Rattus norvegicus: one gene and its partners. The protein of the gene in region 1 binds, or shares a complex with, the protein of each later gene. Links are inferred from orthologs where the notes say so. Each region holds a gene or a part of one and is shown in the gene's direction. Other genes may lie near its edges.

Region 1 (4,870 bases):
AGATGGCTATTTTGGTAGCTATAAATACTTCACTTGATAACTTGGTTTTTATTAAAGTGATTGCTTATCCATACAGTTGTAATATCATTTATTTTTCTGAAGATTCTAGTAAATTTTTTTAATAATATTCTTACAAAAGTGTTTCTAATTGTGTGATAGGTCACAAGTAATGTTTATATGAATCCCTTTAATTGAACAAATATATACCAGCAGACTGGCACGAAGTGAACTAAGCATTGGTGTGTGAGGTTCCTGTAATCAGAACTCAGGAGAGTAAGCCATGGAGCAGAGGTTCAGGCAGGCGTTGCCAGGGTGCTGTTGCATACTTAATTGGCAGCAAAGTTGTCCAAAGGGGTGACATGGGTTGTTGGATTTATGAGAGCACCTTTTAAAGAGCTTTTCAGTAGGGAATATAGAAAGGAACGGCAAAAAGACCAAGTATCAGATTAGATAAAAGAGCAGACAAAATGTGCTCCAGCTAGCTGTTTCTGATCAGTGGCTTTCTCATTTTACATTTTAAATGGTATCCATTACTATGGGTGTTCAGTTTTCTTCTTTAACGGTATGATTATGCTATTTAATATACAAGTTAATTAAATCAGTCTGTATTTGGTGTACCATCTCCCTATTAAATGAAGCTTACTTAAGTGTTTCCTTCTTGCTCTTCGTAAAGCTTTCTTTCTCCTTGAAGAATTTTAAATACAGAAAACAGTACAATAGGGTGTAAGATAGAGCTGCCTGGTTGGGGTATCTACAATTTTCAGAGTCTGTTGGAGTTGATTATGGTTTGATATATTTCTCAACATAGTCCAAATATTTTTTTTCTGTTGTAGAACAAAATCCAGTCTCATAGCAGAGGAGAATACAATGTTTACAGCACCTTCCAGAGCCATGAGCCAGAATTTGACTACTTGAAAAGCTTAGAAATAGAAGAGAAGATCAACAAAATTAGGTGGTTACCCCAGAAAAATGCTGCCCAGTTTTTATTGTCTACCAATGGTAAGTGTGCATCTTTTGTTTTCAGGCATCCATGGGCATATGGTTCTCCAGAGGATGCAGGCCCTTCCCTTGTGCAGAACGTTAATTTACTACTTTTGCTTCTTTTATTGCTAACTTGCAAATTCAGATTCCTGGGTACTAATTTTTTATTTAGGCCAATTTTATTTCTGCCTCCTTTGGTTGATCCCAAATCCTGAGTTGAATATTCCTTACCAGAAGACATAGGTAGCAGTGTCTTTGTTACAGCACTGTTATGAATGTATATTAACATGGTAACTTGGCAGGTAGACCCAATGCTTAGAAAATGCTTATTTTCTTTCCAAACTTTACAGAAGATGATTTATCTCCAGGATGATTTCTAGGAGAGTATGCTTCTTCCTTGACTTTGACTAGCTCTTCACTTTCTTCTCTATAAGCCACATGGGTGGAAGAAGATTCTCATGTTAGCTGTATTTGTGTAAGGAAAGGTGGGAGAAAGGGTTAGAGCTGGGTGTAATGTTGGTCAGAGTTTGAGGTTTTGCATGACAAATTAAGAGTAGTATAAATTTGTGTGTGTGTGTGTGTGTGTGTGTGAGAGAGAGAGAGACAGACAGATAGACAGAGAGAGAGAGAGAGAGAGAGAGAGAGAGAGAGAGAGAGAGTGAGTTTTGACTTATCAGGACCTTGAGATTGAAGAGATGGGGGTGACACTTTGAGATCTGGGTGTCATGGTCTATTAAAACTTTAGGCTGACACACATTAGCAGAAATCTCACATTTATCTCATCTAACTATTAATAGAAGCAAACCTTAGCACTTACATCTTTCTGTTTGCAGAGTGTGTAGACTCATGACTACTTAGGGTAACACAGTGGGAGATATTTAGAGCCCCTTCGTGCACTCTTGTACCCTGTGGTTTATTGTATTGAATTTATGGGGATGCAGTGCATAAAACATCGCTCTACTCCTGATTCCATGCCTCCTTGGAGACCCATTTTCTCTCAATTAAATTTTTTTACCCTTTTTACCCTCTGCCTTCCTCTTTCTAAATAAATGACAATTTCTTCGTGTTTACGAGGCAAGGGAGGTAGTGAGACAGTCTTGCATCATAGCCCAGGATAGCTTTGAAATGTTGATATCCTACTTTGGCCTCCCAAACATGGGTATGCCCACTGTATCCCACCTCACCTCTTCCTGAAAGAAAGTGATATAACACGGCTGCAATACATTGCATCCTTGATAGAAGAATCAGATGATAGTTTCTAGTCTTGCTTCCATTTTGATTTATGTGGTAAACTGAGGTACATCAAATAGCTCTTCAACACTTTTTTTGCATCAAGTAAGTAATATGATTATACTATGTGTTTATATATTTGTTTTGTTTTACTTTTAGAAACAAATATCCCTGGGAAGTGTGTTGTATATTGTAGTTTGTGGTTTGAAAATATTTGTTTTTATGGTCAAGGGTATTTCTGTCTCTAGAGTTGATTTTTGGTTTTGTTTTGTTTTTGTTTTTGTTTTTTTTTTTGTTTTTTTTTTTTTTTTGAGACAGGGACTCACCAGTAGCCCAGGCCTACCTGGAACTTACAAAACTCTGCTTCCCTCTGTTTCCTGAGTATTGAGATTAAAGGCAACATTATACCCAGTTACATACTTACCTTACCTTCCTTTCCTAGGAGTCTGTGTGTTCTATAGACAGTGGACAGTATCTCTAAGCACAGTAGGTGCCTACATTTGAAAATACTGAATAATGCTACAAATTATTTAAGGGCCTTGACTTAGTCACTATTCTGTTGCTGTGAAGAAACACCAAGACCAAGGCAACTCTTATAAGAGAAAGCATTTAATTGGGACTGGCTTACAGTTTTAGAGGTTTAGTCGTTATCATCATGGAGGGGCAAGGGATATGGAAAGGAATGGGACAGACAGACTGGATCTGGCATGGGCTTTGGAAACCTCAAAGCCCACCGCTGATGACTAGGCTTTCAAATACATGAGACTATGGGGGCTATAATTATTCAAACCACTACAAGCCTGAAAGAACAGATTGCAGTGTTTCGTTGTTATTACTGATAATCTAAATTAGACAGTCATACATTGGTGGGGGATATCTAAATAAGACGTTGGTAACACCTTGGGGGGATATGTGTTTAAAAATAGGGCCCAATATGGTAGTATTTAAAAGGTCAGCATTTTACAGACTTGTGTTTGAGTGTGAAGGGCTAGAGAAGGTAGAGGAAGGGTAAAACTGGAGCCATGCCCAATGGTTTTGATGTACATAAAGCATCTCGGAGATGTCAGCACTCATAGGGTGGCCTCCATGTTTACTGTGAGACATAGCATCAAAGCCCTTATATATTAAATGCAGAGTTAGAAACAAAAGTTGTTTGCCTTTCCCTGAGTCCTGCTGCTCACCGTATTGAGCATGAGCACTAGTAAAGAGGTTGTTCTCAGAGCTTTTGGCAAGATATTTTTAAGTCATAATTAATTAAATGGATTTTCATGTAGCAATTTTATTTCCTGTCTTCCTGCTTCCCAGTGTACTACACTGAGATCATGTAACTATTATAGTATTTCAGTGTTCTGTATTCCATGACTGAAACAAAAACATTTTTAAATTCTAAGTCACAAGCTTTATGATTGAAAAAAAATGTACCTTAAAAAAATTCTTTCAGATTTTGTCAGAGTTGTTTGTTTGCTTTAGAGGGCTTTATTTGTTGGGGGGGGGGCATGGGCCTGTGTGCACACATGCGCTGTTTTGTTTTTCTCTAAGAAAATAGGAACTAATTTAATCCCATCTGAAAGTTTGGTATGTTACGGTCCTATCTGGACTGTTTATAAGGTTGATGAATTTCAATAGACTGAAGATAGAGCTCGGGGTGGGGGGTATTTGTCATTCTCATCTTCAGAAAGGGATTTCTAAGCAATGCTTATGTCTTCCAAAGTTAAGAAAGAGAGTGTAAATGGCTTTTATGTGAGCACCTATTACTCAACCATCTGTCTGTAAGCCTAGTAGTATACTGGAAGCAGAGCCTAGCTGCAGAGGAATCACAAACAAGATCTAGATGAGAGCTTAGGGGTACACTGTAAGATGCTGAAGCCAGGAGTTTACACTTGAATCAAGTGTTGCAAGCAGGCAGTAGAAATGGCTGCTCTAGTGTCTCCCTGTAGATTGTCTTGTATCACTTTTAAAATGGCTTTCAGGCTATTTTAAAACTATGATATTCAATTTTGCTTATATAAGATCATTCAAGGGGCTGGGGATTTAGCTCAGTGGTAGAGCGCTTACCTAGGAAGCGCAAGGCCCTGGGTTCGGTCCCCAGCTCCGAAAAAAAAGAACAAAAAAAAAAAAAGATCATTCAAAATGTCTTGCTTTTGTATAAAAATACCATTTTAGAATTATAACTACATAAAATCATACATGAGTCCATAGTAAATAGTCTTAAACAATACATGGGTAGACTTTTATTTCCAAAGAATAAAGTGAGTAGGTGTGCAAAGTGTGCGGAGGCGAAGCCTGACAATATCAACTACTAACCACCAATTATGCTGACCTAGTCTGTATCCTTGTATGATGAGCTTGGAAGTCACTTCTCCATTGTGTTCTTCTAAATACCCAGTGACATTCTTTGAAGGGCCACACTCCTACTATTCACAGCTGCCCTGATAAAGACAAATTATCCGAGTCTTTGAGAGGCAGATTAAAGATTAAGGAGGCTTCATGGCAAAATGTTGTGGAGTTTGGACCCTGAGACAGAAAATGGGTGTTGGTTAATGGGAAACTTCTTCAAATCTTAGGGACACCTTAGTTTCCGTAGTGTTACACATGGTTTTCACAAGCTTTGCCATTGTTGCGTAAGATGCTAACATTAGACCGGGTAAAGTATATGTGA
Region 2 (4,625 bases), on another chromosome or scaffold:
CCAATACACGAATGATTTCTCTGAGTTCTGAAGTGTCATTGCACTTAAAGAGAGCAGAGAGCATGCAAAGAAAGGCCTTGTACCCACCAAGGCCTGGTTCTCTATGGGTGCTACTAAATCTCTGGTTTTCCCTGCAAACTGGCATCAATAATAATACCTACCCCATGATGCTGTTTCAAGGAAGGATTTAATGGGATGTGGTATTGTGTAGATTAGTTCTGTAACAGGTATGAATGCTTAACATTATTTTATCTTCAGGATCTATGTTTAGTAAGAACTTTGATTACAACCTGTTTGAGATCAAGTGGAAAAACATATAGATGAGGAAACAGGAGACGTGGTTCCCACCACTAACAAGCTGTGCAATGCTGCATGTCACTGACCTCTGTATCTTACCTTCTTCAGCTGAAAAAAAAATATTACTATTAGTTCAAAGTGGCCAGATGTATATCTATACTTCCTCAAGCCTACCCAAACTGAACTCTTAACATCCACCCCGTGTACCTTTCCTATTTGACATAACCATTTAAATTACCTATTTCTTTGAACACCAACATTTAATCTATTGGCAAATCTTAGTGGTTGAACCCGATTACATAGTGTCGGGGTTCACTACTTCTCCCCATTCACTACTGCTACAACCCTACTCCAGAACTCTGCTGAGTAGCAGCTTCCTAACCTATCTTTTGGCCTCCACTCTTGCCTCTGGCCCTCTTTCAGCTCATATTCCATGGAGCCAGACTAGTGTTTAAAACATAAACCAAGCTGAGTGTGGCACTGTATAGCTTTGTCCTACTTCCTTCGGGGCTGAGGTGAATCACTGGTGCCCAGAAGTTTGAGATTAGCCCGAGCAACGACTTAGTGAGACTCCATCTCAAACCATAACAGATGAACAAAGCACAAGCCTATTATTCCCTTGCCTAACACTGCTCAGTGTCTTCTCATCAAAGGACTAGGTGCTCAGTCCTTTGCCCTCCAAGATCACTGTCTCCATCTTGCTTTTTCTTTCCTGTTCGTCGCCAAGCCAGTGGGTCTGTTGGCCCTTAAGCATTGGTTGGAACGCTTGGTCCTGCCCCCACCTTCTGCAGTCCACAGGATTTGTAACTTACAACTTAACTCTGCCCAATTGTCCCTTAACTTCCATCAGTAGTGCTAGACCACACCATCCCACTTTTCTCCCAAACACTTAACACCAAAAGTCTCCTATTTTGTCAATCCCCACTCCCATCCAGTAGCAAGTGAATGACCTCACACAAGTCTCATTTCCTAATACAGTAAGTAGGTGTGCCCGGATAGGAGAGTTGACTGAATAAATGAACAAATACAATTCTATTTAATGAGATACAAAGTTTTGTATTAATTACATAAACCAAAACCTGTTATTCTTTAAATGTGTGCATTTTTTTTCTTTCATTGAATTCCCATACCGAGTGAGCATGAGTAAGTAAATGGTTAGCAGCAGAAATATGACAACTTTAAAAAAATGTCACAAAGCTTCTTCCTCCCAATCACCTTAAGTCTACTATTCTCTCCCTTTCCCCTCCCAGATTCAGCCCTGGGGTAAATTACCCTCCTCTTTGGCCTTTTCCCTGTGGGTTCTACTCCCATGTCTTATTCTTCAGATCTCAGCCTAAGGCTCCAATAGTTCAGCTGCTACTGTACCCTTCTATCCTTCTTTGAGAACGCCTGGGAGTTTTTATTGTTCTCAAGAAAGACCAGAACCTATTCTTGTCCACCATCAGGCTAACAACTCTCTTCTACTGGTTCCCATCTGCCACCTAGCTGGGCAGCAGAGGTTTCCCGCTTTCAGGACAGTTTTACAAAGCGCCGCTGTTGCCTCCTTTAGACTTCAGAAGCCTGTGCTCCATCCCTCGGGAAGCCCACCCAGGCTAGACCGTGCTCCATCATGAAGCCCCACATCACCAAGGGACTATCTTTCTGAGCTCATACTTGCTTCATAAACATATACTTCTGAGCGCCCCGGCCTCTCTAACCAGCCTTCCCGCGAGCCCGCGCCCAGTGATTATTTGCGGAAGGAACGAACAGAGGAGTCGCCCAACCACTGCTCGCCCCTTCCCCGCCGCGGCGCCACAGCAATGACGCATTAAGCTGGCGCCTCAAGAACGAGCGTGTCAGGACGCCTGCGCGAAGGGACACGCATGCGCAGAGGCGTGAGCCCTCTGACAGATTCTCGAAGGCGGCGGCGGCGGCGGCCTTGGGCCGCGGGGAATGGGAGTCCCAGGGCCCTGACTGAGCACCGCCCCCGCCTCCCTGCCGCGACATGGCTCAGGAGAAGATGGAACTGGACCTGGAGCTGCCCGCGGGCACGGGCGCTAGCCCAGCGGAAGGCGGCGGCCCGGGCAGCGGGGGCCTCCGGAGGTCTAACAGCGCCCCCCTCATCCACGGCCTCAGCGACTCCTCGCCGGTGTTCCAGGCCGAGGCGCCTAGCGCCAGGAGGAACAGCACGACGTTCCCGAGCCGCCACGGCCTGCTGCTCCCGGCCTCGCCGGTCCGAATGCACAGCAGCCGCCTGCACCAGATCAAACAAGAGGAGGGCATGGACCTGATCAACCGAGAGACGGTCCACGAGCGCGAGGTGCAGACCGCAATGCAGATAAGCCACTCCTGGGAGGAAAGTTTCAGCCTGAGTGACAACGACGTGGAGAAATCCGCCTCTCCAAAGCGCATCGATTTCATTCCGGTGTCTCCAGCACCGTCACCCACCCGGGGAATTGGGAAGCAGTGTTTTTCACCGTCCTTGCAAAGTTTTGTGAGTAGCAACGGATTGCCTCCAAGTCCTATTCCCAGCCCAACCACCCGGTTTACTACCCGGAGAAGCCAGAGTCCCATCAACTGCATTAGACCAAGTGTTCTTGGACCATTGAAAAGAAAATGTGAAATGGAAACTGATTATCAGCCAAAGAGATTTTTCCAGGGCATCACCAACATGCTTTCTTCTGACGTTGCACAGCTGTCAGAGCCCGGAGTGTGTGTATCTTCTGATACCCTGGATGGAAACAGCAGCAGTGCCGGATCTTCCTGTAATTCACCAGCGAAAGTCAGCACTACCACCGACTCTCCTGTGTCGCCTGCCCAAGCAGCCTCCCCCTTTATTCCAGTAGATGAACTTTCCTCAAAGTGACTCACTCGTCTTGAATCCCCCTCCCCCAATGGAGAGACAAAAAAATCAAGTTAGAGCAAGCACTGAACTTTGTCGATTACGTTGAAGCTGTTTCCTATTTGACTCTTCCCTCTTTTTGGAAATTCCTGAAATGTTATTCTAGAGAATTTCTATGTCAGGTTCCTGCGGATGCCCTTGAATTCAGTGTAGTAATATTTTCGGACTTTTTATCAATAAGTGTGTTGAAGCATACATTTTACGCTGCTAATATGTCTAAATACATATGTTATCCCTTGATTTTTTTAAATAATTGAGAGCTCTATTTATTTATGGGATTATTAAGTTCTGATGAAAATATAAATGTTGAATTTCAGTTTAGTAAACTGATGTTTTAAAATTCCATAATTCATGGCACACTAATTTTTGGTGTTTTTCAATGGTTGCTATTTTCCATCTACTGAAGAACTTACCTTCTTACAGCTAAAATAATGTTAGTGATATCAGTCCACTGGTTGTCTAGTTTACCCAGGAGCCCTTGATATTTAATGTCCTAGGCAGAAAGGTGGGTGGGAGGGAAAAACGACAAAAGGAGAAATAACACTTTGCAGCAAATATTTTAAAATTAAGTATATGAAAGTAAATAAGGACATTTTCTAACAATTTTCATAGTAACTCTAGTAAATCACACTAATATAACTACAAAAATGAAATTTCTTTTTGAAAACATTTTTAACCAGAAAGTGCATTCTTTTGGGTATAATCCTAAACATGCAATGGGACAGTGCCTTGTAGTCTTAGCTCACATTAGACAAGCGAAGGCAAGGCTCTTGCTACCATTTCAAATTTAACATTTGTGAAATGTAAATGTGTGGGAAAACACCCAGACAGATGATGCTCTCTCAATCCTTGATAGACTTTAAGCTATCCAGTCCTGACTTGGTTCTTAAAATTCTTGCCAACGAGAAGCCAGGGCAGCTGTGGCTGCTTTTTTGGTCTGCCCATCTGTCACCTTCATATTTTTCCCTTGCTCAGGAAGGAAGCAGTTGTTTCCTTGCCAACAGGTACTTCCCACCTCCCACCAAGCTAGGCCATCGTTAGACAAGGTACCCCTGACTTGGATTTCTAACAGTGCGATACATCTATGGTTGGAGCTTTATTAACAGCAGTGGAGATGTAGTTAAGTAAAGGCCCGTGAGGTGCAGGAGATGAGGGACAGTCACTTCCATAACTCATTACTTAGGTTTTCTTAAAGGTAGAAGTATGTGGTGCTTTTCTTTTACAATTAAGATAAAGAGCAAATGCTTTTTATACTACACTTCTTTACAGTACTTCATCTGTCCTGGAAAGATAAGACAGACAGATTGAATGAATAACAGACCCAAAGAAACAGGTTCAAACAAACAAACAAACAAACAAAACAATAAGAAAGACATGACAAAAATTCCTACTTAACTTTCTAAAGTTGTCACCTACAGACTTTAACAATTATGTGGAATTTTTACAG
Region 3 (5,211 bases), on another chromosome or scaffold:
TAGGAATGGAACTGATGGACTTTGTTTTTTTGTTTTTGTTTTTTGGTTTTTTTTTTAATAAAGTCAGAATGCTCAGTGGGCATAGTGGTACACACCTTTAGTCCCAGCATAAGGAGGCAGCGGCAGGCAGGTCTCTGAGTTCGAGTCTAGCTTGGTCTACAGAGCTAGTTCCAGGACAGGACAGCCAGAAAAACCCTGTCTCAAAAAACACAAACTAAATAAATTAATATTTTTTTAAAGAAGCGCTGATGAAAGAAACAAAGCTTTGAAAGGACTAGGTTGTCAGGCTCTACCCCAGATGTACTGTCAGTCAGCCTGTAAATTTAAACAAGCTGTGTTAGGAACATGGGCTATCTCCATACGTGAGTTCAAGTACCACTTACTACATGGCGTTGATAAATATATCTGTGAGATACAGCATTACCAGATACACTGTGTCCTCATGAGTATAGGTCATTTGTAATACAGTGGGTTCCATCAGAACCTCACTGGACTGCATTCCTTAGGAAACCTGAAGGGACACACACACACACACACACACACACACACACACACACCCCTCTGTTGTTTTAAGGGTGAGTGGTCAGGATCTAGATGCAGACTTGGATTTCAATATTCAATAAATATTTGTAAAAAAATTTTTTTAAGGAGAGAAAATGGAGAAGAACCTCATGTTATTACTGACCATACGTTGTGGTTGCTACATGTTATAAATGTTTTCTCTCCTTCTCTATGTGGACTGAGAATTCCTGGAAGGGGGGAACCCTGGGCTTCAGTTATAGCAGGGATAATGGCCAAAGCTAGCACCCCAAAGCATCATATCTGAGCGCATCCTAGTTGTTAACCAGCTCTAATCAAGCCTACCTCACTAGTGTTTCTTCTACATAAATACATTGGTTAGGAAAACCCTACTGTAGGATGAGGTAAACTTTTCACACTAATAGACTCTGTGTAAGCTGTGGTTAATTTTATTATTTAGATTACCTCTGGGAGCTGTCATTTATCTTCTGTATAATAAAGAAGGTATATACATGATTTTTCCTTTTTAGATTTGAAACTAAAGGGCCATGAGGCAATTTACTGAGTCATCAGGCACCAGTACCATCTTGTCGTGGTCTTTTTGACAGGAATTTGTAAGACTCAGTGGATGGACTACATTGACTAACCAGGAAAATTTTAGGAACTTTTGCCCATACTTGACACAAAACAAATTTACATAATCAATATGGGGAACCAGAACTTCTTTATTTGTATTTTTAGAACTTACTAGATTTCCCCAAGAATAGATCAATTACTTACTGTGCATTTTTTTAAACAGACAAAACCATTGTGGAAAAGTAGGTAACATCTTCATTTAATCTATACTGACAACTGAGAATCTGAGGAATGGAATGAAATATGCCAGCTTTGGACGAGAACCAATAACTTTGTGCCTGAATTCTGTTCCTTGATAAAGCAGAAGCTTGGAAATTTCTATAAACTCCCCTTTTTGTTTGTAGTCAAATGCTGAGTGTAACGCTAATGGGAAAGGGACTAACTCCAAAATAATATCTCAAATATATCGTGGTAGTTGTCATATATTGCCATCGCTTCCGTTTCTGCCAAGAATGACCAGAAGTTACAGCTGTACCAGCTGTAAGCAGCTGGAAATTGCTCATGAAAGGAACCGAACTTTATTGTGCAGTAGATTCCAACACACTAAACGGATGAAAGCCCCAATAGTTCGGTTCCTTACAGTGTGCCAATGTACTTCACAAAGCGGAATTCCTAACTACAAACAGTTCTGTGTGCTTCGTTCTACCACATCACCCGCTCAGAACACAAATCCCACCGCACTTGATCAAAGGGTCGCCTGCGATCTCCCCCTTTAAGAGCTTGCTCCGCGGGACTAACGTTTGAACCGGCCCCGGGGCTCCTCCTCTGCCTCTGATTGGCCGGGGGTGGCGCACGAGGCGCATCGGCCCGCCCAGAACGGTTGGCGGCGCTTTGTGATTGGCGTTCGCGGAGCATATATAAACCGCGGTGTGGCCCCGCACCGCTCAGTTTAGAGGCTGGCCCAGAACGGGTCTGTTGACTGAGGAGAAAAGGCGGAGGGAACTACGCATCACTAGATCTTTTCTCCACCGAGCTTTCACACGCTGAGGGTACAACCACAGAGGCGAACCTGTTCCTGCCTCTCGCGCCTCTCTCAGCTTTAGAAGGCAAGCAGGCGTTCACCCCGTCGTCTGGAAGAGGAGGCAGGATGGAGTTCAAGCTGGAGGCTCACCGTATCGTCAGCATCTCCCTGGGCAAGATCTACAACTCGCGGGTCCAGCGCGGCGGCATCAAGCTGCACAAGAACCTCTTGGTGTCGTTAGTGCTGCGCAGCGCCCGCCAAGTCTACTTGAGTGACCCCTGCCCTGGCCTCTACCTGGCCGGCCCTGCGGGGACCCCGGCGGTACCGCCGCCACAGCAGCCCGGAGAGCCGGTAGCGGGGCCACCATCTGGCTGGGGAGAGCCGCCCCCACCGGTCGCCCGCGCCGCCTGGCCGGAGCCCGAGCCGCAGCCTCAGCCTCAGCCTCAGCGTCCCTCGGTGTGCCACACGCCGGGAGCGGGAAGCCCAGAACCGGTGGCCGCGGTGTCCGGAGCGGAGGACGCTCTACGGGGCGGAGAGGAGGACTCGGCGGCAGCTGCTTGGGGCCGCGTGGAACGTCCGCGCGTGGCGCCTTCTGGAGGCAGCTCGGACGCGTGCTCCGAGGGGCCCCGGGCACTGCGCCGCCCGTGTGGCTGTCCGTCGGCCGTGGAGGAGCGGTCCTCAGAGAACGGGTCCCCGGCGCCAGCCGCCCCGTGTCCCAGGAAGCGTGGCGCAGCGGGAGTGGGTGGCGGCCGCGCGGGCTGCTCCGCGCCCGGCTCTACCCCTCTCAAGAAGCCGCGCCGGAACTCCGAGGAGCAGCCGGTCACCGACGAGGAGGACACCGACGAGGAGATGGAAACCGGGAACGTGGCAAACCTCATCAGCATCTTCGGGTCTAGCTTCTCGGGACTCTTACGGAAAAGCCCTGCGGCCGGGCGGGAGGAAGAGGAGGCGGAGGAGGGCGGCCCGGAAGCCTCCGAGCCCGGGCAGATCTGCTGCGACAAGCCGGTTCTGAGAGACATGAGCCCCTGGAGCACAGCCATCGTGGCCTTCTGATCCCCCGGGACCTGAGCGGCTGGAGCTTGAGCAGCGGGAGTCCCCGAAGTGCGGCCGGGGCCTTTCCCGGCCGCGAGGACGAGCCGAGACCGTAGGCGCTGGGCGCGTAAGGGAGACTGGTTGCTGCCGGGCAGCACATCGCCCCGGAAGGGGCAGCCCGGCTGGGCCGTGGCTCTCGAGTCTCATCCTGAGACCTAGAGTGGGAGGCTTATTGGAAGAGGACGATCGATCGTTAACTTTTGTATCAGTGTGTGTCCATGTGTAAGTTTGTCTTGTGTTGAGACGATTCTGTGGTTCTGGAATGCACCACCCCTTCCCCGTTCTCGAGACTTTGGGGGTGCAAACAGGGACTTTCCTCTGCCAGCAGCACAGAAAAGGAAGCTGCTGAAAGGTTCGAGACAGGGGAGTTCCCCGATCGATCTTGGGGAAGAGAGGGACTTTACACACAACCTCTCTCCTGAAAGCTAGGACCACACCGGGGCGCGGAGTGGCGTTTTCTCACAGGATTTCCCCAGACTAGAGGGAGTTCGTCTGGAGTAGAGACTTGTATTATTTTTCTTCCTCCCCATCTTTCTCTGGCACAGAAGAAGCGCTTCTACCCTGTGATTACTCTGGGAAAGCAGAACATTAAGGGACCTTCAATTCCCCACAGGGGAAAAAAAGCTTGCTGAACTTCACAGAAGAGTTCAAGCTTGGAAATATGGAGTTTATAGAGAAAAAGATATATTTTTAAAAGCTCTAGCTCAGAACTTACTACACAGTGCTTTTAAAAAGTGTTTAATGAAACAAAGTTTACAGACGAGCTCTAAGTGGAAGGACCTTATGGTTTTGTAGATACGGTGACTCCAGTCTTTGTTGTATAAAGGTTGGGGGAGCTGATAAGGTTTTTGTACAGTATTTTCTCCTCCTCTGTATTGATTTTTGTATAAAAATGTAACTTTACGTGTCTAACACGTATTAAATATTTTGAAGCAACTCCACTACCTGCTTGTATGTATGTAATCACTTGTCTGGGTTTCCAACCAGGTGGGGGGAGGGGCAGCCAGGCTGGGAAATGGAAGGTGTGGTTCTTCGTATCAGCCAGTCACAGGCTAGGGACATTGTTGGCTGACTAGAATAAGTATCAAGAGAGACACGTTTAAGGGTTTGGTTTGGTTTTTTTGTTTTCACGCACATCCCCATTCACAGGACTAATAGATACTGGAATTAATGACTGGCAGTTTGAAACCTGCCACTGAAACAGCTTTCTCTGTAGTCATGGTTTTCTATAGTTTGACTTGATGGAATCTTTAATATTAAATAATACTAAACGCCAAGTTTTACAGCCTTTCCAATATCAAGTATTTCCACCAAAACTTTGTTTCCTAAACAGATCTGGTAATCTATTAGACCATGGGTCACTTTGTAGATTTGAATTGGGGTGGGAGTGGGGTTTAGAAAGCAACTTTAGAGGTCTTAGTAGGACCAGTCATGAAGAAACCGATGAGATTGACTTCTCTAAATGTTCAGGTTCATCACTCGTGTTCCATTAGATGTCAAGGCTGACATTTGTCTTCAGTTGTAGAAAGTAAATGTTGAAAGTGAAATTATGTGTATCAAACCAGAGAAGGAGACTAAGGAAGGTTGGGTAAATTTAATTCTCATGTAGCAGAACTTCCTGATTTGCTCTTGTCACCCTACATGATGACATAAGTGGTTTTGGTCACGATAAACAGATGACAGCCAAGACAATTTAAAGAGACCGTTTTGTCTGAGGCAAAACGTTCAGTACTTAAGAGGTAATCTCTTAGGAGCAAACCAATTAGACACTCAGTTTTAAATATAATTGCTAGTTCTTCAAAAGATGCCACTAGTTTCTAACTAAGTAGAATGCTTAAGAGGCAGAAACAGGAAAGAGACAAAAGGAGCATAGGAAATATGCTCTTTGGCCTTAGTTTAAGAGTGTGTGTGTGTGTGTGTGTGTGTGTGTGTGTGTGTGTATACTTCTATATGAATTATCATAGTTGAATAGGCCATTGCTTTGCTCTTTAAGATTATGACTG
Region 4 (4,870 bases), on another chromosome or scaffold:
TACTTCCGGAACCTGTGCTCAGATGATACCCCCATGGTGCGGCGGGCCGCTGCCTCCAAGCTGGGGGAGTTTGCCAAGGTACTGGAGCTGGACAATGTCAAGAGTGAGATCATTCCCATGTTCTCTAACCTGGCCTCTGACGAGCAGGTAAGCCAGTCACCAACTCTCACCATGCCCTTGCTAGCTGAGGAAGGAATGCACCCTTAAGGCTCAGTGGGCCTCTGCTTCCCTGCCCCTCCCTGTGTTTTCCCAGGACTCGGTGCGGCTGCTGGCAGTAGAGGCATGCGTGAATATCGCCCAGCTTCTGCCCCAGGAGGACCTGGAGGCCTTAGTGATGCCCACCTTGCGACAGGCTGCTGAGGACAAGTCTTGGCGTGTCCGCTACATGGTGGCAGACAAATTCACAGAGGTAAGTTGGCATAGTTCCACAGATGGGAACACTGAAGCTTTCTGAGGGGAGGAGGGAGCAACATATAGGAGATGACATGCTTTATTTTTTAGGACAGCAGTCCGTCCTGAGTCTTAATGGGCAACCGAATCATCTCCCAGAGCCAGTCCTTGTGGGTGATTTGAATCAAAGTGCTGTAATGAGAATGATTTTGAAGCCAAGTTTCAATTCCATGAAAGCATTTTTCCTGAACTCACAACTTCCCTAAGAAAGACACAGCCCCAGTAATAGTTGTCATCAACCACATGTTAGTCAGATCAGGGACAAGTGCTCTTTGTGCCAAGATCCAAATTTTCTTAGCCAAGAGCATGTTGGTTTGTTGTTGTTTTTCCCCTTGTTAATACTGAGAGTTGAACCCAGTTCTTAACCCATGTTAGGCAAGTGCTCTACTGTTGTTGCAATATTCGCAGGTCCATAGTTATGTCCTTTTGTTTGTTTGTTTGTTTGTTATTAGCACTACCTTTGGTAGAGGTTCTGGAGTCAGTTATGTGTACACATTCCTGGCCTTGAAGGAGCAGGCTAAAAGTCAGCCTCACTAGAAAGTGCTGATGGGAGCTAGAGAGATGGCTTAGCGGTTAAGAGCACTGACTGCTCTTCCAGAGGTCCTGAGTTCATTCTCAGCAATGGTGGCTCACAACCTACTGTAATGCAGTCACATGCCCTCTTCTTAAATAAATCTTTTAAAAAATATTAGTTCTAATGGAGTATGTTATGTCTTGTTCTGTGTGCTTGATGGCATTGCAATTGAGTGGCAGTTAGATAAGAAATATGTCAGAACAAAAAGACAAGCCCGTGCAGAGTATGTAGGAGATAAGAGACAGAGTAAAGCAGGAGCATTCATGGCCTGATGCTGAGATTAAGTGAGCAAAGGGGCAGGAATGATGGACAAGAGCTCCTCATTGTGATGGTTAGTTTTCTGGGGTCTGCTAGAAGACTCATCCCTAAGGATTGTATTCCTGGGTCTAGTAAAGTAGTTTGAGACCTGGCCATGTAGAAGTATGTGTACCTGGGAGGCGTAGTACCAAGTAAAGGCAAGTCAGGCTTCTGATCTGCAAGGGAAGCAGGCTTAATTCTTTGAGTAGTAGAGAGTCATCCTGCTCCCAACTGTTCTTCCAGCAACCTAGTTGAAGCTGTCTGTTCTAGATCCTTTTCCTACATCCTTGTTACTGGCATGTGTTTCCTTCTTCACTGTTTTTAATCATTTTAATCATTTTACTTTTGAAAATTATACCAACCAGTTTAGTAAACTGTTAAGTATGTTTACATATTTTCATGTTAGTGAAAGCAGGAACCACTTAACAGTGTTTAGGGAATGGGAAATTCAACCTCAAAGAACCTGAACAATAAATGTAAAACATACTGTGGAGGATGTCCTGTAACCATCGTTCTATTTCTGAAGATGTCATCAGAGAGGTGACAACTTCACTGATTGGTCATGTCTTTATGCTGGGACTATGTCCCTTGTGCTGTGTCCTAACCTCATTCTAGTGCTTTCTTCTCCATTTTTGCCTCTTTAGCCCTGAGTGGCTGCCACACTCTTCAGTTCTGCTCCTCTTCTCTTTGTGTACAGCTCCAGAAAGCAGTTGGGCCTGAGATCACTAAGACAGATCTGGTGCCTGCCTTCCAGAACCTGATGAAAGACTGTGAGGCCGAGGTGAGGGCCGCAGCCTCCCACAAGGTCAAAGGTTGGTGCTGGCAACCAGAACACAACTAGTTGGGTGGCTTTCTAAGAGGCACAAATGGGCTCAGAGCATCAAGTCTCACCAGCACCTTCCTGTCCCTGCCCACAGAGTTCTGTGAAAATCTCTCAGCTGACTGCCGGGAGAATGTGATCATGACCCAGATCTTGCCCTGCATCAAGGTAATAGAGTAGTGTTTGATGGTAGGATTTGAGACTGCTAGAGATGGGTGAAGACTTTGTTTTAGGTACAGTCTGATCCAAGCCAGGTTTTCAGTCCTTTTGGGATGTAGTAACTGAGCTGTAGACAAAATCTGAGGGTTGCTGCTGACCCTAAGGTCTAAGGGATGTATTTGCTGCTCCAAGACCAGAGTCCCCTTATGAACAGAGTTTTTGGAGAATGAGGCAGTGACCCTGGGTTGGGGTTCACATAACAAACAATCCCTGTTGAGAATAAATCCAGTGCAGCCCTGTGATGCCCCACATATGTGAAAAGCAGAAGACTGTGGTCTTCTTGGGCCATCGGGGCTACTATCTATGTGACCAGTTGCAATTAAAGGGGATTTCTGACCTTTGTTACCTCCTTCATTCTTTTCTGAAGGAACTCGTGTCCGATGCCAACCAACATGTCAAGTCAGCACTGGCTTCAGTCATCATGGGCCTCTCTCCCATTCTGGGCAAAGACAATACCATCGAACACCTCTTGCCCCTGTTCTTGGCTCAGCTGAAGGATGAGGTAAGAGTGGCAGAAAGGTTTGCAGAATCAATCAATTATCCAAGAGTATAAAATTTTGGCATCACACTCCACACTCCCTGCTTTGCTGAGTAGATGACAGGCATTCATGTCTGCTTGTTCATTCATTCTTCTCAGACATTGCTTCAAGTTCCCTTAATTTTGCACTCATCTGTCTCCTGAGTATTTAGGACATGAACAAAGACCAAGACAGTGGTGATCTTTAAGGACTTACAAATGTGCCAGTAGAGAGGAACAGAGAGATAAAGTGTTCCATAATTCCACTCAGAAATTGTAGGTACTGGGAGAGGTGGGCCACGGTTTAAAGCTTTAGGTGACATAGAGACTAGAATACAGTAACATCTAGTCAGTTATGATTATTCCTCTCACATCATTCCAGCTGGCCCTATTGTGACAGATTAGCCTTGCTGGCCTGGCTTTCTTGGTCTGATGCCACAGCTGTAATTTGTCTCCTGGCCCACTGAAGGTCCCATTGAAATAGCTCTAGCTTGTGTCTTCTACATGCTCTGTTGGCCATAGCCAGTCTGGTCACCATACTTGCTTGTGCAAGTGGCTTTAGACTATGGAGAATGAAAGAAGTCACTGGTAAGAGTTTAGAGAATTGGATTTGAACCTGTAGGCAAGTGCTGCAGCTGCAAGAGATCTTTCTGTTAGGAAAGTATAGCCAGTGGTAGGGAGAGAGAAGAGAGATGGCCAGAGGTCCTGGGAAGCCAGACTAGTGTGATGCTGTCCACTGACAGTCTTTAATGGAGCTTGTTGGTAGATTACACAGTGGCTAATTCTGTGATGGTGAATGCAGATTTGTCCCCTTTCCCAGACTGGGTCAAAGATGCTTCATAGGCTGTTTGTACTCAAGAAGTCTTTCTTAAAAATGGTGTGTGAAGTCAGTTGAAAGGTTTTAACATTGATAGCTCTGGATTTAGTTTCTAGCACCACAAGAAAAAAATAAGGCTCTTGGGTCTGCATTTTCAGTTTTCCGGAGAAGTTTCTCTTCATAGCCAATGTGCGGCTGCTCCACATGTCTGTTCCCATAGATGTCCCTGCCCTATGGAATGAGTGTGAATGGATACATTGGAGTTCATAATACCTCTAGTCAGAGATTTGTCACATGCATCTCAAGGTACAGAGTTCCATGTCAGTGGGAAGAAATGAGTGATAGAGAATAAACACAGCATATTCATTCCTTTGTGTTCCAGAAACTGGATACTTCTTTCAGTTTATCCAGTGGTTCCCATTTCCCCTTGCATAGCCTCCGCTACCCTGAGTGAGACTAGGTGGATATTTTGTGTTAAGGGACAATAGCCAGAAAGGAGCTCTTGGCTGTTCCTCTCACCCTTCTTAGGTCGCTGTATATAGTATCTTCTCTCAACCTTCCTGTTTTCTTTCCAAGTGTCCTGAGGTGCGGCTGAACATCATTTCCAACCTGGATTGTGTGAATGAAGTGATTGGCATCCGGCAGCTCTCGCAGTCCTTGCTTCCTGCCATCGTGGAACTCGCTGAAGATGCCAAGTGGCGAGTGCGGCTGGCCATCATTGAATACATGCCTCTGCTGGCTGGACAGCTCGTGAGTGAGGACCCAGGTTTTGCTGTCCCTGAAGTGATAAGAGAGCAGGGTCCAGTCATAACCCCAGTACCGGGCACTGTTGCTGTAACAAGGGACTTGGAGCTGCCCTTTGTAGGCAGTGACAGCTGCCCATGGAGGAAGGACTCTACTCTGGAACTAGGTTCTTAGCAGATAAATGGGGTTCAGTCAGAGCAAGAACACGACTAGCATCTCAAATGGGGTTGAGAATTGCATGATTATTTGGGACCCCACCCTCTTTTCCATCCTTCCTCTCAAGCCCTTACCAATCATTTTTCCCTGCAGGGTGTGGAATTTTTTGATGAGAAACTTAACTCTTTGTGTATGGCCTGGCTAGTGGATCATGGTAAGTTTCCCCACCAACACAGCAGGTTAGGTTAGCCCCAGAGACAGACAGATGAGCTAGGA

The links.
Region 2: the proteins of Ppp2r2a (region 1) and Pabir1 are in contact, whole or in part, in a cryo-EM structure (PDB 8SO0), measured with the Homo sapiens proteins. The link is inferred for Rattus norvegicus from reciprocal best matches to the Homo sapiens genes PPP2R2A and PABIR1. Residues at the interface, in NP_002708.1 of Homo sapiens: Phe84, Leu87, Lys88, Ser89, Leu90, Tyr178, His179, Asp197, Met222, Glu223, Leu225, Thr226, Glu227, Val228, Tyr337, Asp340, Phe343; in NP_612206.5 of Homo sapiens: His81, Ser82, Ser83, Arg84, Leu85, Ile88, Lys89, Glu92, Arg99, Glu100, His103.
Region 3: the proteins of Ppp2r2a (region 1) and Ier5 are in contact, whole or in part, in a cryo-EM structure (PDB 8UO5), measured with the Homo sapiens proteins. The link is inferred for Rattus norvegicus from reciprocal best matches to the Homo sapiens genes PPP2R2A and IER5. Residues at the interface, in NP_002708.1 of Homo sapiens: Glu91, Ile92, Glu93, Glu94, Asp116, Tyr178, His179, Asp197, Leu198, Met222, Leu225, Thr226, Glu227, Val228, Thr230, Ser247, Phe280, Phe281, Glu283, Ile284, Ser287, Cys334, Tyr337, Glu338, Asn339, Asp340, Phe343, Lys345; in NP_057629.2 of Homo sapiens: Ala7, Arg9, Ile10, Ile13, Ser14, Lys17, Arg25, Gly26, Lys29, Leu30, His31, Lys32, Leu34, Leu35, Val36, Leu38, Val39, Leu40, Arg41.
Region 4: the proteins of Ppp2r2a (region 1) and Ppp2r1a are in contact, whole or in part, in a crystal structure (PDB 3DW8), measured with the Homo sapiens proteins. The link is inferred for Rattus norvegicus from reciprocal best matches to the Homo sapiens genes PPP2R2A and PPP2R1A. Residues at the interface, in NP_002708.1 of Homo sapiens: Pro103, Gln104, Lys105, Asn106, Ala107, Phe110, Lys123, Arg127, Lys129, Pro131, Glu132, Gly133, Tyr134, Asn135, Leu136, Lys137, Thr147, Val149, Thr150, Thr151, Leu152, Arg153, Val154, Pro155, Phe157, Arg169, Arg170, Asn186, Ser187, Asp188; in NP_055040.2 of Homo sapiens: Leu10, Tyr11, Ile13, Ala14, Val15, Ile17, Asp18, Arg21, Ala41, Leu42, Arg46, Glu50, Leu51, Phe54, Asp57, Thr58, Tyr60, Asp61, Thr98, Val99, Glu100, Glu101, Thr102, Trp140, Phe141, Thr142, Thr178, Pro179, Met180, Arg183.

The regions. Positions count from the first base shown.
Region 1 is NC_086033.1:45,389,943-45,394,812, reverse strand, and holds part of Ppp2r2a (serine/threonine-protein phosphatase 2A 55 kDa regulatory subunit B alpha isoform), read left to right. Parts: intron 1-833; coding exon 834-999; intron 1,000-4,870. UniProt on the Homo sapiens protein: Substrate-recognition subunit of protein phosphatase 2A (PP2A) that plays a key role in cell cycle by controlling mitosis entry and exit. Involved in chromosome clustering during late mitosis by mediating dephosphorylation of MKI67.
Region 2 is NC_086019.1:231,540,312-231,544,936, reverse strand, and holds Pabir1 (P2R1A-PPP2R2A-interacting phosphatase regulator 1), read left to right. Parts: upstream 1-2,219; 5' UTR 2,220-2,281; coding exon 2,282-3,142; 3' UTR 3,143-3,526; downstream 3,527-4,625. UniProt on the Homo sapiens protein: Acts as an inhibitor of serine/threonine-protein phosphatase 2A (PP2A) activity. Inhibits PP2A activity by blocking the substrate binding site on PPP2R2A and the active site of PPP2CA.
Region 3 is NC_086031.1:69,819,388-69,824,598, reverse strand, and holds Ier5 (immediate early response gene 5 protein), read left to right. Parts: upstream 1-2,056; 5' UTR 2,057-2,242; coding exon 2,243-3,169; 3' UTR 3,170-4,149; downstream 4,150-5,211. UniProt on the Homo sapiens protein: Plays a role as a transcription factor. Mediates positive transcriptional regulation of several chaperone genes during the heat shock response in a HSF1-dependent manner. Mediates negative transcriptional regulation of CDC25B expression.
Region 4 is NC_086019.1:69,222,513-69,227,382, forward strand, and holds part of Ppp2r1a (serine/threonine-protein phosphatase 2A 65 kDa regulatory subunit A alpha isoform), read left to right. Parts: coding exon 1-147; intron 148-253; coding exon 254-409; intron 410-2,018; coding exon 2,019-2,133; intron 2,134-2,238; coding exon 2,239-2,309; intron 2,310-2,727; coding exon 2,728-2,862; intron 2,863-4,270; coding exon 4,271-4,444; intron 4,445-4,747; coding exon 4,748-4,808; intron 4,809-4,870. UniProt on the Homo sapiens protein: The PR65 subunit of protein phosphatase 2A serves as a scaffolding molecule to coordinate the assembly of the catalytic subunit and a variable regulatory B subunit.